2 linked regions of the Elephas maximus indicus genome follow. The protein of the gene in region 1 purifies or fractionates together with the protein of each later gene. This does not show direct contact. Links are inferred from orthologs where the notes say so. Each region holds a gene or a part of one and is shown on either strand. Other genes may lie near its edges.

The links. The genes of interacting proteins can lie anywhere in the genome.
Region 2: the proteins of DBF4B (region 1) and CDC7 purify together in Homo sapiens (affinity purification with mass spectrometry; 3 studies listed by BioGRID and IntAct, counting the BioPlex papers as one, with this or other methods). This does not show direct contact. The link is inferred for Elephas maximus indicus from reciprocal best matches to the Homo sapiens genes DBF4B and CDC7.

What each region holds. Positions count from the first base shown.
Region 1 is NC_064837.1:51,153,698-51,160,931, reverse strand, and holds the start of DBF4B (protein DBF4 homolog B), read right to left. Parts: upstream 3,017-7,234; 5' UTR 2,869-3,016; intron 2,853-2,868; exon of another isoform or gene 2,841-2,852; intron 2,373-2,840; 5' UTR 2,344-2,372; coding exon 2,310-2,343; intron 1-2,309. UniProt on the Homo sapiens protein: Regulatory subunit for CDC7 which activates its kinase activity thereby playing a central role in DNA replication and cell proliferation. Required for progression of S and M phases.
Region 2 is NC_064821.1:150,943,272-150,950,622, forward strand, and holds the start of CDC7 (cell division cycle 7-related protein kinase), read right to left. Parts: upstream 3,015-7,351; 5' UTR 2,917-3,014; intron 2,889-2,916; exon of another isoform or gene 2,423-2,888; intron 2,274-2,422; 5' UTR 2,197-2,273; coding exon 2,082-2,196; intron 1-2,081. UniProt on the Homo sapiens protein: Kinase involved in initiation of DNA replication. Phosphorylates critical substrates that regulate the G1/S phase transition and initiation of DNA replication, such as MCM proteins and CLASPIN.

The DNA.
Region 1 (7,234 bases):
ATATTGTACGACTCCATATTGTATAATTCCATTTACGTGACATGTCCAAAATTGATGAAAGCCATATATCTTTGGTGTCAGAAATCAAATCTCAAAAAGGAGAAATAAAATAAAACTAAATCCACACTTAGAAACATCAAAGTGAATATGCAAAACACCAAGGGCAAAGAGAGGATACTAAATGGGGGGGGCGGGGAACCTACCAAGCTTTAACTATAAAGGAACAGCTATTAACGCTCTCATAGGCATTTCAATAGCAACAATGGAACCCAGAAACCAGTGTGATAATGTGCTGAGAGAAAATAAAGGTCGACTTAGAATTTTATACACGACTAGACTATTATTGAAGAATGAGGGCAAAATAAAGACATTTTTTCAAAAAAACAAAACCCCAATTTATCACCAACAGATTCTCACTAAAGGGCTCTAAAAGATACACTTAAGAAGAAAACTGAACCCAGAAGGAAGGACTAAAATGTCAAAAATATATGCATAAACCTAAATAATCACCGACTGTGTAAAACAATAACAATGAATAGTTTGGAAGCAAAAAAAAAAAAAGATAATAATATCATTGCTAAACAGTTAGGGCTCTTGTAATACTCAGGAGGAGGTAGAAAGCTAAAAGAAGATGGAAACATGTCTTTAAAATTCTGAGGAAAAACAATTTCCAACCTAGAATTCTTTACCTAGCCAAACTATCATTCAAATGTAAGACAGAATAAAGAATTGTCAGATCTGCAAAGTCTCCAAAAATTATTTCTCATGTACCTTTCTCAGGAAGCTATATTGGAGGACGTACTCTACCCAAGTGAGGACATGAGCCGAAAGAGGAAAATATGGAATTGAGAACACAGACGATCCAACACAGGAAAGAGGCAAAGGGAATTTCACGGAATGATGAAGGGATAGTAGGATGAAATCCATGCAACAGGCCTAGTGCATATCTAAACCAGACTAGACTGCTAAGACAAATGGTTCCAGAAGGTATGTCTCCGAGACAGAGAAGAAACTGACGGATCTTCTGATGAGCTTAAAAGTATTGGGAGGTTTGTTATTTCTGGTAAAGACTGTGGAGATTTACACATAGAAAACAAAGGAAATTTCCTAGTTTACTATATGGCTCAGCTGTGAATAGCCTTTACATAATCATAGTAACGTAAACACAAAAATCATCTAGACAAAAATATATTGAGAGGATGAGGGGAGGAGGGAAATATGTATGTGTGTAGTGAAGGGGACAGAGGTTACAGAAAAAAAAAAATCTTTACTTTCCATAGCAGAAAGCCAATAGATAAAATTAAAAATGGAAAACAACAATAACAAAAAACAGTATGAACATGCTATTTAGAAAAAAAAAATACTAGAATAAACAGCTAAAAAAGCTGTAGTCACACCCTAGGGAGTGGGAATCACGAGGTATGAAAGGAAGAGCGGAAGAATGTTTTGTTTTGTGACAGACCTTGGTTATTTTAAACAATGTAAGCATAAGATTGTAATAATAATGAAAAATAAAAACCCTCCCAAATCCAGACACAGTCATATCATAGTGAATTTTAAGAACAAACAGAAAGAATAGTCTCAATTTTTCTAAAGAGAAAAAGCAGGTCATTTACAAAGGAAAAAGAGTCAGATTAATATCATTTCTCAACAGTATCTACTTTGTGTAAGAAGAAAATATTGTAATTTTTCAATGTGTTGAAAAAACATTGACTCAAGAATTTTAATGCAGCAGTGAAATATATTCTCAGGCACGCAAGCCTCAGAAAGTTTATCACACAGAGTCCTCTTTTGAAACAGTCTTGGACAAAGTTCCCCAGGAAAAAGAGAAACAGATCCAGAAGAAAGCAACAAGACTGGGAAGGACGAAAAAAACTTAGTAAATGTTACTACTGTGTAAAAGGCAACAACAACAAAACCTGTATTTGTAACAATCAGAACTAAAACTGGATAGATAGTAAAAGAAAGAAGGGGAAGCACTGCTATATGCTATAATACTTACCTAACTCGGTGGGAGTATTTTAAGTTTATCAATAAACTTAAGAAATTTATGGTGAAAATAACCATGAACATGAGTTTTAACAAATTACTATATCCTGACTCTCCATCTGCCTACTTTGTCCATAATACCAGACTAAAAGCTCTCGCTTGACCTTTACCATGAATTCCTAAATGATCCTCTCCTCCACAAAACTACTAAGGAGTTTGACAACCCAAACAGGACTAAAATTTCTCTTATTCTCCCAAGAGACTCTAGGGCAGGAGTAGCAAATTTGACCTCGCATCCCTAGTTTTAATCTGTTACCTACCTAGGTCCGGAACCCGGAGCCTAGCCTCAGCCATGGAACTCCCCGGCTCGAGCAAATAGTCGCCTGAGAAAGGAGGACAAAGCTCAACCACCTTCTCTAGCCTTCGACCGTCCACCGTTCCCGCCCCCCAAAACCCGCACAATGCCCAAAGTTCCCAATTCGGCTCCCAAGGACAGCAAGACTCAGCTCCACCCCAACCCACTCAACTCCCACGTCTCCTTCCATGAGCGTGTCCTCAGTCCCACCGCCCCCTTTCGCACTCTGTTCCCTCAACTCGTGTTAGCCCTTGGCCACCCGCTGTACATCTTTTCAATTCCCGTTCCTTCTAGTTCCTTCGCTCCCTTTGGACCTCTGTCCCCTCAACTCCCGAGACCTGCTGAATCACCTATATTCCTGTGACCTCCCCCCCGCCTTTACGGCTTCTGTACCCTCCTCCGTTTCTGCACTTAACCGTTTCTCAATGTCTACGTCCACTTTCTGACTCCCCACCCCGTCTTCAACTCTTCTGACCCCTTCCGCCTGCCTTCTTACAACTTTCTCCCCTTCCCGGCATCCGTACCCGTTCCTAGCTCCCTTCTCACACTCTTGGCTCCTTTTCGGCTTCCGTAGTCCTTCCTTAAGGCCGGCGTAGCACATCCTCCGGCTCCATGATCTCTTTCAGACTCCCAAAACCCAGGTGTTCCTCTGCATCATTCTCTAGGCGCCCTCTGCCGCGGCTTCGGTTTAAATTTCCTACTAGCTCCACCCCTAAAACACCATAATAGCTACGAGATCTGCCCTACGGTGGCCTTGGGAGGACAATTCACAATCCCACCACTTCTCCGCCTCCGTTATTGTTAGCTAGCTTTCTCCAGCTGACTCTCATTTTCGGGTTTTCATTGGCTGGAGGTATTCTGCGCATTAATGAATTTACCCTGAACCAAAAACCCAGTGCCCTCTGAGCTGGGTTTAAATGTCTAGGAGTATGAATAATAAAATAAGCCTAACGATTACAGAGCGTTTACACTTTACGTAAAGATTTCATGTACACATCATTTCATCTTCACACCTTTGTCCCCGTCCCTTTTCTCCACTCACTTACCTAACAAAAAACTGCTGAAGAGGTTGTCTTGAAGGCAGATGGGGACAGGAGCTGGTTGAATGGACATGGGAAATAAAGGGTGGAGAGGAGGAGTGTGCTGTCACATTGTAGGGAGAGCAACTGGGGTCATATAACAGTGTGTAAATTTTTGTATAAGAAACTGACTTTAACTGTAAACTTTCACTTAAAGCACAATTAAAAAAAAAAAGAATGCACACACACACACAAAGAGGTGTCTTCATTCCTCGCCTCCCATCTTTTCTTCAACCCACTGTAATTAGACTTTGATCCTCACCCCCCCTAAAACTTTTCTTGTCCAGATCAATAATGACTTCCACATTGCCAAATCCTATGGTCACTTTGTTATCCTTATGATATCCAACTTCTATAACATTGACAATCAAAGTTATAAAATACTTTCTTCTCTTGGTTTTCACTACCCAGCACTATCCTGGTTTTCACCTTGCCTCAATGGCTCCTCCTCAATCTCCTTTGCTGGATCCGACGCCACTGGTCCAATGTTGGTGTATTTCCAACACTTAGATCTTGGCCCTCTTCTCTTCCCTGTTGGCACTCCCTAGGAGACCTCATCCAGCTCCAAGGCTTTACAATTCAGCTCTATACTAATGCCTGCAAAATTTCTGTCTCTATTTCTGACCTCTCCCCTGAGCCCCAGACTTAGAGATCTACTATGTCCAGTGCCCCCTGAACATTTCCACTTGGAAATCTAGCAAGTATCTGAGCATTAACATGTTCAAAACAGAAATTTGTTCCTTCCTTCCCCTGCCAAAAAACAAACACCTCTTCTTTCCCCAGTCTTCCTCATCTCAATAAATAGCATCATTATCCACCCAATTGCTCAAACCAAAAACCTAGAAGTTATCTTTCAGTATTTTTCCTATCCCACTCCCACTTCAAAAAACAAGTCCTACTAACTCTACCTCCGTAGTAACATCTTGAATCAGACCACTGCTACCACCCTACTCCAAGCCACTCTCATTTCTTACCTGAAGTACTGCAGTCAATTCTTAACACGACTTCTACTCTTAACTGCCTTCTACCTCTTCCCATATAACCCATTCTTCATGAATCAGCCAGAGTGATATTTATAAAACACCATGGTGGAGTATATTACCGTTCACGTGTATTTGGTGTCCCTTCCAGTGGGGGCCCGCCCTGAACTCAGGCCTGACCATGTGACTTAGCTTTGGCTGATAGAAAAAGTGACATTCTGAAGAAGAAACTTTAAGAGCCAGAGTGGTTCACCATGTTCTCTTTTCCTCCTGTCACAATGACTAGCAGTGTCCCAGGTAGAGGCTGTGTTATGGACTGAATTGTGTCCCCTAAAAATATGTGTCAACTTTGTTAGGCCATGATTCCCACTATTGTGTGATTCTGCACCATTTTGTCATCTGATGTGATTATTCTATGTGTTATAAATCCTAACTTCTATGATGTGAATAAGTAACCCTGGTGACATAGTGGTTAAGAGCTATGTCTGCTAACTGAAAGGTCGGCAGTTCAAATTCACCAGGTGCCCCTTGGAAACTCTATTGGGCAGTTCTACTCTATCCTATAGGGTCGCTATGAGTTGGAATTGACAGCGATGGGTATGATGTTAATAAGTTCTGTTAATAATGTAACTGCCAGGATTAGTGGCAGTTATGTTAATGAGGCAGGACTCAATCTGCAGGATTAGATTGTATCTTGAGTCAATCTAAACGATATAACGAGAGAATTCAGCAGAGAGAACACGTACCTCATACCGCCAAGCAACAAGAGCCAGGAGAATAGCATGTCCTTTGGACCCAGGGTCCCTGCGCTGAGAGGCTCCTTAACTGGGGAAGATGGATGACAAGGATCTTCCCCCAGAGGCTACAGAGAGAGCCTTCCTCTGGAGCTAGCTCCCTGAATTCAGACTTCTAGCCTCCTAAGCAGCGAGAGAATAAATTTCTCTTTGTTAAAGCCATCTACTTGTGGTATTTCTGGTACAGCAGCACTAGATAACTAAGACAGGCTGTTTGTCAACTTGGGTTCCTTAACGAAGATGAACGAAGATGTCATGGAATAGATACAAATCCATAATGCATTTGTAGCATGAGCAAGAAATAAACCTTTGTTGTAGGAAGCCACTGAGATTTTAGGGTCATTTGTTACTATATCATAACCTAGCTCCAGGCTCTTAAAGTGTAGTCTGAGGTCCCCAAGACACTTTCAGGAGGTTCTACAAAGTCAAAACTATTTTTATAATAAAATTAAGATGTAACTTGCCGTTTTTCACTCATTCTGTCATAGTGTTCAGTGGAGTATGCAGAAGCAGAAATGAGAATGCTGCTGTCTTCTCTTAAACCAGATATATTAAAGAGATTTGAAAAAATATAAAACAATGACATTCTTCTAATTATTTTTGTTTTGAAAACTATTTTCATTAAAAATACATTGTTAACATATAGTGGGCTTCTTGTTTTGAAATGAATGTTAATATTTTAAAACTTTCTATATTTTAATTTCTAATTCTGTAAATATCAATAAATGCAACCCACATTGTGGTAGCCAGTCTCCAAGATGGCCCTCAGTGATCCCCACCTCCTGGTATGTATGCTCACAATGGATTGAGGAAATGATAGTGTGTGACTTCTGTGGCTAGGTCATAAAAGACATCATGACTTCCATATTGCTGTTTCTTGGATCATCTGCTCTGGTGGAAGTCGGCCACCATGACACAAAGGCACTCAGTATGCCTATGGAGAGGTTCATGTGGAGAGGTAACTCAGGCTTCCTGCTAACAGCCAGCACCAACTTGCCACTCATATGAGTGAGCTACCTTGAAGGAAATCTCCCAGGCCTACTCAAGCCTTCAGATGACTGCAACCTCACAAGAGATTCCCAAGCCAGAAACCCCCAAATTGCTAGAATTTCCTGACTCATAGAAATTGAGAGAAAACGAATGAATAAATCCACAATTGAATTGAAGCCACTAAGTTTTGAGGTGATTTTTTCTACACAGCAATAATAATTAATCTATACACGAACAAAAAAAGCTGTTTGAGATCCTCAATGTTTTAAGAATATAAAGGGGTGTAAGACCAAAACATTTAGAACTGCCTACCTATCCTATCCTGATACAGATTAAATTACCCTCCCTTTAAAAAACTCCCAGTGGCATGTCCTGTCTGGAGGGGAGATAGGAGGGTAGAGAGGGTTAGAAACTGGCAAAATTGTCACAAAAGGAGAGACTGGAAGGGCTGACTCATTAGGGGGAGATTAAGCGGGAGTATGGAGTAAGGTGTATATAAGCTTATATGTGACAGACTAACTTGATTTGTAAACGTCCACTTAAAGCTCAATAAAAATTAAAAAAAAAAAAACTCCCAGTGGAGTTCCATTTTGCCCCTCTGACCATACCTTCTTTCTCCTTCTTCAACAACCTAAGCTTGTTCCTGCTTTAGACCCTTTCATTAATAGTTTCATTTCCCAGGTCTTCTCTTTTGTTTTAGGCACCAGATCAAGTATTACTTTTTCAGATAAGACCTCTCTGACCCCACCCCTTGTCAGCCCCACCACCTTGGTTTATGTCTTTCATAGCACTTACTGCTATCAGCAAGTATCCTGCTTATTTGTTTACTTGTTTATTGCCTATATTCCCATATAGAATGTAAGCAACAAAGGAATAAGGACTTTGTTTCATTCACTGCTATATCCCTGGAGTAAAGAACCTGCCTGGAACATCAAAACAAAACAAATAAAAAAACAAACCCATTGCCATTGAGTCAATTTCAGACTCAAAGAGACCCTATAGGACAGAGTAGAACTGCCCCATAGGGTTTCCAAGGAGCAGCTGGTG
Region 2 (7,351 bases), on another chromosome or scaffold:
ATACTAGAACCAAATCAGATTCATCCTTTGCACCCTGCCTAGGACACAACATAAGTCAGTAGCTATGGGAGACACTGTCTTCAAGGAGCTTATAGTATACATTGAAGAGATTCAAAATACAGGAATAACAACACAAGGCAGTGCACAATGATGTGGCAAATGATTAATAAGGCTGAATTGTTAAATACAGGTAATCTTAAGAAAAATGGAAGAGGAACACCATTCATTCAACTGGACAAAAGGGGCATTTTAAGATTATTAGTACCAGTGTATGAGATGAACTGGAGTGTGGAAAGGAAGTGAAAGCAGGCAGTTTAGGTAAGAAACTTCATTACAATTAAGGAGCAATGTGATAAAGGGATGAATTAATGTGGTGGCAGAGGGAATGGAGAGGCAATGCTATACACATTAAAAAGAAAGAAGACAATGCTGGGTGAACTAGATTAGGAAGCAAATACAAAGCATTAACTCCGTAACAACTCTACAGTTTTGAGCATAGGTAACCTGGATTCATCACCAAAATTAGGGAACCCACGAAATGTACTCATTTTGAGACCAAAAATGAGCTTACTTTCAGTCAGGAAGCATAAGTATACACTGAGCATGGACAAAAGGCCAAAACTAATCGGCTTTGGACAAACACTAAATTCACTTAAAAGAAAGATGGAAAAGACTTAGCCAGCTTTTAAGGAAAAAAAAAAAATAATAATAACAGTTAACTGGAACTCCTCCATTTAACAAATATTTACTGAATGCCTACTATGTCCCAGGCACTGTGCTAAAACAGGAATGAAGACAAACATTTTAGTGTACAAGACTAGATATTGTTTGACCCTCTCCTCCTCACCCCAAGGTCTGGGATAAATTCAAACAATGCTTCATGATACACACTGAGATACATTGTTGTTAGCTGCCATGACAGTTTAATGGAGAATTGTCTTCCAACATGTACAGGTGTTCAATAAAAATGATGCTTAACAGATTTAGTAACAGACATGTTCAGATGAGACCATAATTTTCTTCTTCCCCCACCAAAGCACTTGGAGTGGCAGGAAAAGAGCAAAAATATATTACTTGGAACACATTTTTATTCAAATAGATTAACAATCAAGTAAATTATACTGTATTTTTCAATAAAATCTAGGATTGTTGTTGTTAGCTGACATGCAATCAGCCCCCAATTTATAATGGCCCATGTACAACAGTAACAAAATGCCGCCCAGTCCTGTGCCATCCCCATGATTGACTACGGATCAGGCCACTGTGAACCACAGAGTTTTAACTGGCTGATTTTCTGAAGTAGGCCTTTCTTCCTAGTCTGTTTTAGTCTGGAAGCTCTGCTGAAACCTGTTCATCATCACAGCAACATGCAAACATTCGCTGTGCTGACAGGAATGGTGGCTGCATATGCGGTGCAATCAAACCAAGGTCTCTTGCATGGAAGGCAAGAATTCTACCACTGAGCCACCACTGGGTGCGGCCGGTGCTCCCACAGGTTTTGTGCTTTATTGTTGCTACAAACATTTCATGTATTTGTGTCAGTGAATTCTGCCTCTGAATACTTTAGTAAAGATCCCTCCAGTGTCAAGCTTAAGACAATACAGTGAGAAGAGATAAGACCATAGGTCTAGGAAGAGGCAAATTCTAGGTTGGGCATTAACAAACTTGGTGTTATCAGGCAGTCACTAACGTTTAGACTTTGGAGCCCTGGTGGTACAGTGGTTAAGAGCTCTTCCGCTAACCAAAAGGCTGGCAGTTCAAATCCACCAGCTGCTCACTGGAAACTCTACGGGGCAGTTCTATTCTGTTCTATAGTGTTGCTATGAGTTGGAAAAGGCTCGGTGGCAATGGGTAATTGTTCAGACTTTAGCAACTTCATCTGTACAATGACAAAACAGGATTACAATCCTCTTTCTAAACTGCAATCCAATCCTAAATCTAGATCTTATAAAGCTTTACTGATTTGTAAAATGTTCCTACGCAAATATACAACTCACTTTAAAGATTCGAGTTATTTTTTTTTTAAAGCAACAAACTCAGAATTGTTACCTCTAAGTACATCTTTGGAATGAAACACATACCTGGAAGTTTAAAACTCTGCTCATCTTTTTTTAACGAGCCATCAACCTGAAGCCGGTTACACGGGGGAGAAAAGGCCACTGGCTCATCCATCTGAATCCCCAAAGACGCCTCCATCACAAAACTGGGATGTAAAGTGCCAGCTAAGAGGTCATGTCCACAGGGGTAGCAAAGCAGCTGGGAAAATTAGAATGCTAGAGAAGATGAGAAATTTAAATCACTCACCGAAGCAAGCACCAAAAAATGCCACTGTCTCCAAAGGGACAAACATTTAAAAGCACTGTATGTTCAAATCCCCAAAGAGAAACTGTGAACTATTTCTAAGGATTCCATTTGCTTTTACCTTCACCTCCCAGAAATCCCGGCAGGGGGCCGAAGGGAGAATGTCATGTCGGGGGACATCAGCAGCTGGCGGCGATGGGAAGGGTGGTGGGGAACTGCTGACGTTTGTATTTGGGCGTGGAAGGGGTGCCCGGAGCGGTTTGACCTGAGGAAGGGGACTGAAGGAGGAAACTGTGACCACTGAGACGGAACTCCAGGAAGCTAGTACGGGGACTCACGCGAGTTGGCAGAGAACTCATACGGCCACGAGCCACTAGCGGCGGGCGGAGGAAGGGAATGGGCAATGAATGGACATTATCCGGCCGCGAGCTCAGTAGGGCAGGACCTTCCGCTCAGACCAGAGACGAAGCGGATGCTTAGTGCGCAGACGCGCAATTTTCCCGCCGCAGGCCAGCGGGACCAGAAGGGGTGGGGGTACTGCACTGCGACAAGACTAGCCACGAATTCCGAATTCATTTCTAGTCCCTCAGAAAGAACAAACCGTTGGAAACTCACGGTTTAAGGGAGTACGACTTCCGTGGCTCCCCACATGCCTGGGTCGCCGGCTCCCGGCTCTCCCCACTTAGCAGCTGGCCAAACGCGCCTGCGCTAGACTTCCCGCCGCGCTGTTTCAATTGCGCATGCGCACTGGAAAACTTTAGGCGCTTGCGCAGCAAGGTTAGGTTTCTTCCCCCAAGGCCGTTGCTAGCTGCTACTTGGCTAGAAGAGCGATTATAGAAATAAAATCTGAGGTTAATCGTTTACTAAAAAATAGAGTGAACCATTAGGTTAAGGGTCCAACACTATTTTCAGGAAAGACTATAGTTCAGAAAAAGGAAAGCCTCAGGCTCTGGAGTCTTGACACATTTCTCCATACCGTAGCCACACCAAGGCATGGGCAGCCTGGATTAAAGACGTGTACTTTGTCGCTCTTTTACTTCCTTTCCGTTGAGTGCTCTGCCTTTCCGGTAAAAATACACAAACGCAAAATGCCAATTCCTGATTGTTTATGACTATTCACAGAAATAAGTACAGTTGGCGCTCATTTAGCATATATTTATTGAGTGCTTGACTATGAGGTAGGCAGGTGAACAAGGTAGACAATAAAAAAAAAATAGTCGACACTTAATGAGGCTAAATTCTAGTGAGGCGATGACAAATGAATAAAATTCTTACAGATAGTGATGAGCGCCCCAAAGAAATAAAAAAGGAGAAAGAGCAGTTTCAGAGATGTAATAAGGCAGAAAGACTAGAGTGTTTTGAGGAACGAAAGATGTTCTTGAGGTTTTGTTTTTGTCTTAGAGGGGGAAGGGAGTGGTGAACAGTAGAGATTGATCTAGTAGAGAAAGAAATTGTTGATGTGGGAGAAAAAGGGAATACCTACAGGAATGAAGTTATCAAGGAGGATGAAGGGATGGATTCAAAGCACATGGAGGGGGATATGCCTTTGAAATGAACCCAGATTACCATCCTTTTAACGGCAGGAAAAGAAGAGAAGGATTCAGACGCAGGTGATTTTTGTATGGGTTGGAAAATAAGTTCTTACCTGATCGTATCAGTTTTCTTAATAAAATATGAGCTGAGAGAAAGGCAGGAAGGGGTATTAGAAGTCGGAGGAGCGAGAAAAAGTTCTGAAGTATCTTCTGAGTGAGAATGTGAACTGGGAGAAAGATTATGACATTGGCATCAGGGTTCTCAAGTAACTTTCAGGCCAAGAGAATGCAGACATGGAAAACATAGGTGGATTTAACACTTCGCACAGAGGGAGTGCAAGTCAGGGTATTTACAAGGAAGTGGTTGTAATGATGCATCATGGAATCCAGGAGGCTAGGAGGAATGGTGATAGGGAAGTTGGTAGAAAGATAAAAGTCAGGAGAACAATGGATTGGAAATCAGTATGTAATCTAAGAATTTGTATAATGGAGGTATGAGTTATAAAGGTAAGGGTGGTGCATAAGATGGTGAAAGTTGGGGTTTCAGAGATAAGATCATTGGAGAGGATAGCTAAAATTGTTGGAGGAAAAGATTCATTTTGGTGTGAAAAGTTAAGATTATTCTAACTCCAAAACCCATGCACAGGCCACCACTGAGATACCAGTTATTTTACCTAATCCACTTTCTCCCCAGACAGTAAGTAATCCCCTCCCCTGATCCCCATTAGTACTTTTTGCAGCGAACAGGCATAGGCAAGAAATTCAGAATCCTGGACCCCACCTCAGACCTACTGAATCAAAATCTGCATTATAAAAGACCCTCAGGTGATTTGCATGAATTTTACATTTTGAGAAGCACTGTTCTAGAACACGGGTGCTCAACCTTGGCTGCACTTTAGAATCACCTGAGGAGCTGTTAAAAATTCTGAAGCCCAGGCTGCACCCCAGAACAATTATAACAGAACTTCTGGGTGTGAGATCCAAGGACCAGCATTTTTTATATATATATACTTTTTATTGTGCTTTAACTGAAAGTTTACAAATCACGTCAGCCTATCACACAAAAACCCATATACACCTAGCTACACACTCCCAATTACTCTCCCCCAAATGAGACAGCCAGCTCTCTCCCTCAGCTCTCTCTTTTCATGTCTGTTTCGCCAGCTTCTAACCCCCTCCACCCTCTCATCTCCTCTCCAGGCAGGAGATGCCAACATAGTCTCAAGTGTCCACCTGATCCAAGAAGCTCACTCCTCACCACCATCCCTCTCCAACCCATTGTCTAGTCCAATCCATGTCTGAAGACTTGGCTTTGGGAATGGTTCCTGTCCTGGGCCAACAGAAGGTCTGGGGGCCATCACCACGGGCGTCCTTCTAGTCTCAGTCAAACCATTAAGTCTGGTCCTATGAGAATTTGGGGTCTGCATCCACTGCTCTCCTGCTCCCTCAGGGGTTCTCTGTTGTGTTCCCTGTCAGGGCAGCGTAGCTGGGCACCATCTAGTTCTTCTGGTCTCAGGTTGATGTAGTCTCTGGTTTATGTGGTCTTTTCTGTCTCTTGGGCTTGTAATTACCTTGTATCCTTGGTGCTCTGCATTCTCCTTTGATCCAGGTGGGTTGCAACCAATTGATGGACCTTAAATGGCCGCTTGCTAGCGTTTAAGACCCCAGACACCACTTTCCAAAGTGGGATGCAGAATGTTTTCTTAACAGATTTCATTATGCCAAGATGTCCCCTGAAACCATGGTCACCAGAACCCTGCCCCTGCTATACTGGCTTTCGAAGCATTCAGTTTATTCAGGAAACTTCTTTGCTTTTGGTTTAGTCCAGTTGTGCTGACCTCCCCTATATTGTGTGCTGTCTTTCCCTTTGCCTAAAGTAGTTCTTATCGACTATCTAATTAGTGAATGCCCCTCTCCCAGCCTCCCTCCCTCCCCCGTCTCGTAACCACAAAAGAATGTTTTCTTCTCAGTTTAAACTATTTCTCAAGTTCTTATAATAGTGGTCTTATACAATATTTGTCCTTTTGCAACTGACTAATTTCACTCAGCGTAATACTTTCCAGGTTCCTCCATGTTATGAAATGTTTCACAGATTCCTCACTGTTCTTTATCCATGCGTAGTATTCCATTGTGAATATACCGTAATTTATTTATCCATTTCATCCGTTGATGGGCACCTTGGTTGCTTCCATCTTTTTGCTATTGTAAACAGTGCTGCAATAAATATGGGTGTGCATATATCTGTTCTTGTAAAGGCTCTTATTTCTCTAGGATATATTCTTATTCTACTCTGTCCTATAGGGTCGCTATGAGTCGGAATCGATTCGACGGCAGTGGTGGTTTTATATTCCAAGGAGTGGGATTGCTGGATCGTATAGTAGTTCCATTTCTAGCTTTTTAAGGAAGTGCCAAATCAATTTCCAAAGTGATTGTACCATTTTACATTCCCACCAGCAGTGTATAAGTGTTCTAGACTCTCCACATCCTCTCCAATATTTATTATTTTGTGTTTTTTGGATTAATGCCAGCCTTGTTGGAGTGAGATGGAATCTCATTGTAGTTTTGATTTGCATTTCTCTAATGGCTAATGATCGTGAGCATTTCCTCATGTATCTGTTAGCTACCTGAATGTCTTCTTCAGTGAAGTGTCTATTCATGTCCTTTGCCCATTTTTTAATTGGGTTATTTGTCTTTTTGCAGTTGAGTTTTTGCAGTATCATGTAGATTTTAGAGATCAGATGCTGATCAGAAATGTCATAGCTAAAAACTTTTTCCCAGTCCATAGGTAATCTTTTTACTCTTTTGGTGAAGTCTTTGGATGAGCAAAGTCTTTGGATGATTTTTAGGAGCTCCCACTTACCTAGTTTTTCTTCTACATTCTTTATAGCGTTTTGTATACTGCTTATGCCATGTATTAGGGCTCCTAACGTTGTCTATATTTTTTCTTCCATGGTCTTTATCATTTTAGATTTTATATTTAGGTCTTTGATCCATTTCGAGTTAGTTTTTGTGCACGGAGTTTTTTGCAGATGGATATCCAGTTATGCCAGCACCATTTGTTTAAAAAAGACGGTTAAGACTGTCTTTTTCCCATTTAACTGTTTTGGGGCCTTTGTCAAATACCAACTGCTCATATGTGGATGGATTTATGCCTGGATTCTCAGTTCTGTTCCATTGGTCCATGTATCTGTTGTTGTACCAGTACCAGCCTGTTTTGACTACTGTGGCGGTATAATAGGTTCTAAAATCAGGTAAAGTAAGGCCTCCCACTTTCTTCTTCTTTTTCAGTAATGCCTTATTTATCCAGGGCCTCTTTCCCTTCCATATGAAGTTGGTGATTTGTCTCTCCATCTCATTAAAGAATGTCGTTGGGATTTGAATCGGAATTGGATTAAATGTATAGATCACTTTTGGTAGAACATTTTTATAATGTTAAGTCTTCCTATCCACGAGCAAGGTACGTTCTTCCACTTATGTAAGTCTCTTTTGGTTTCTTGCAGAAGTGTACTGTAGTTTTC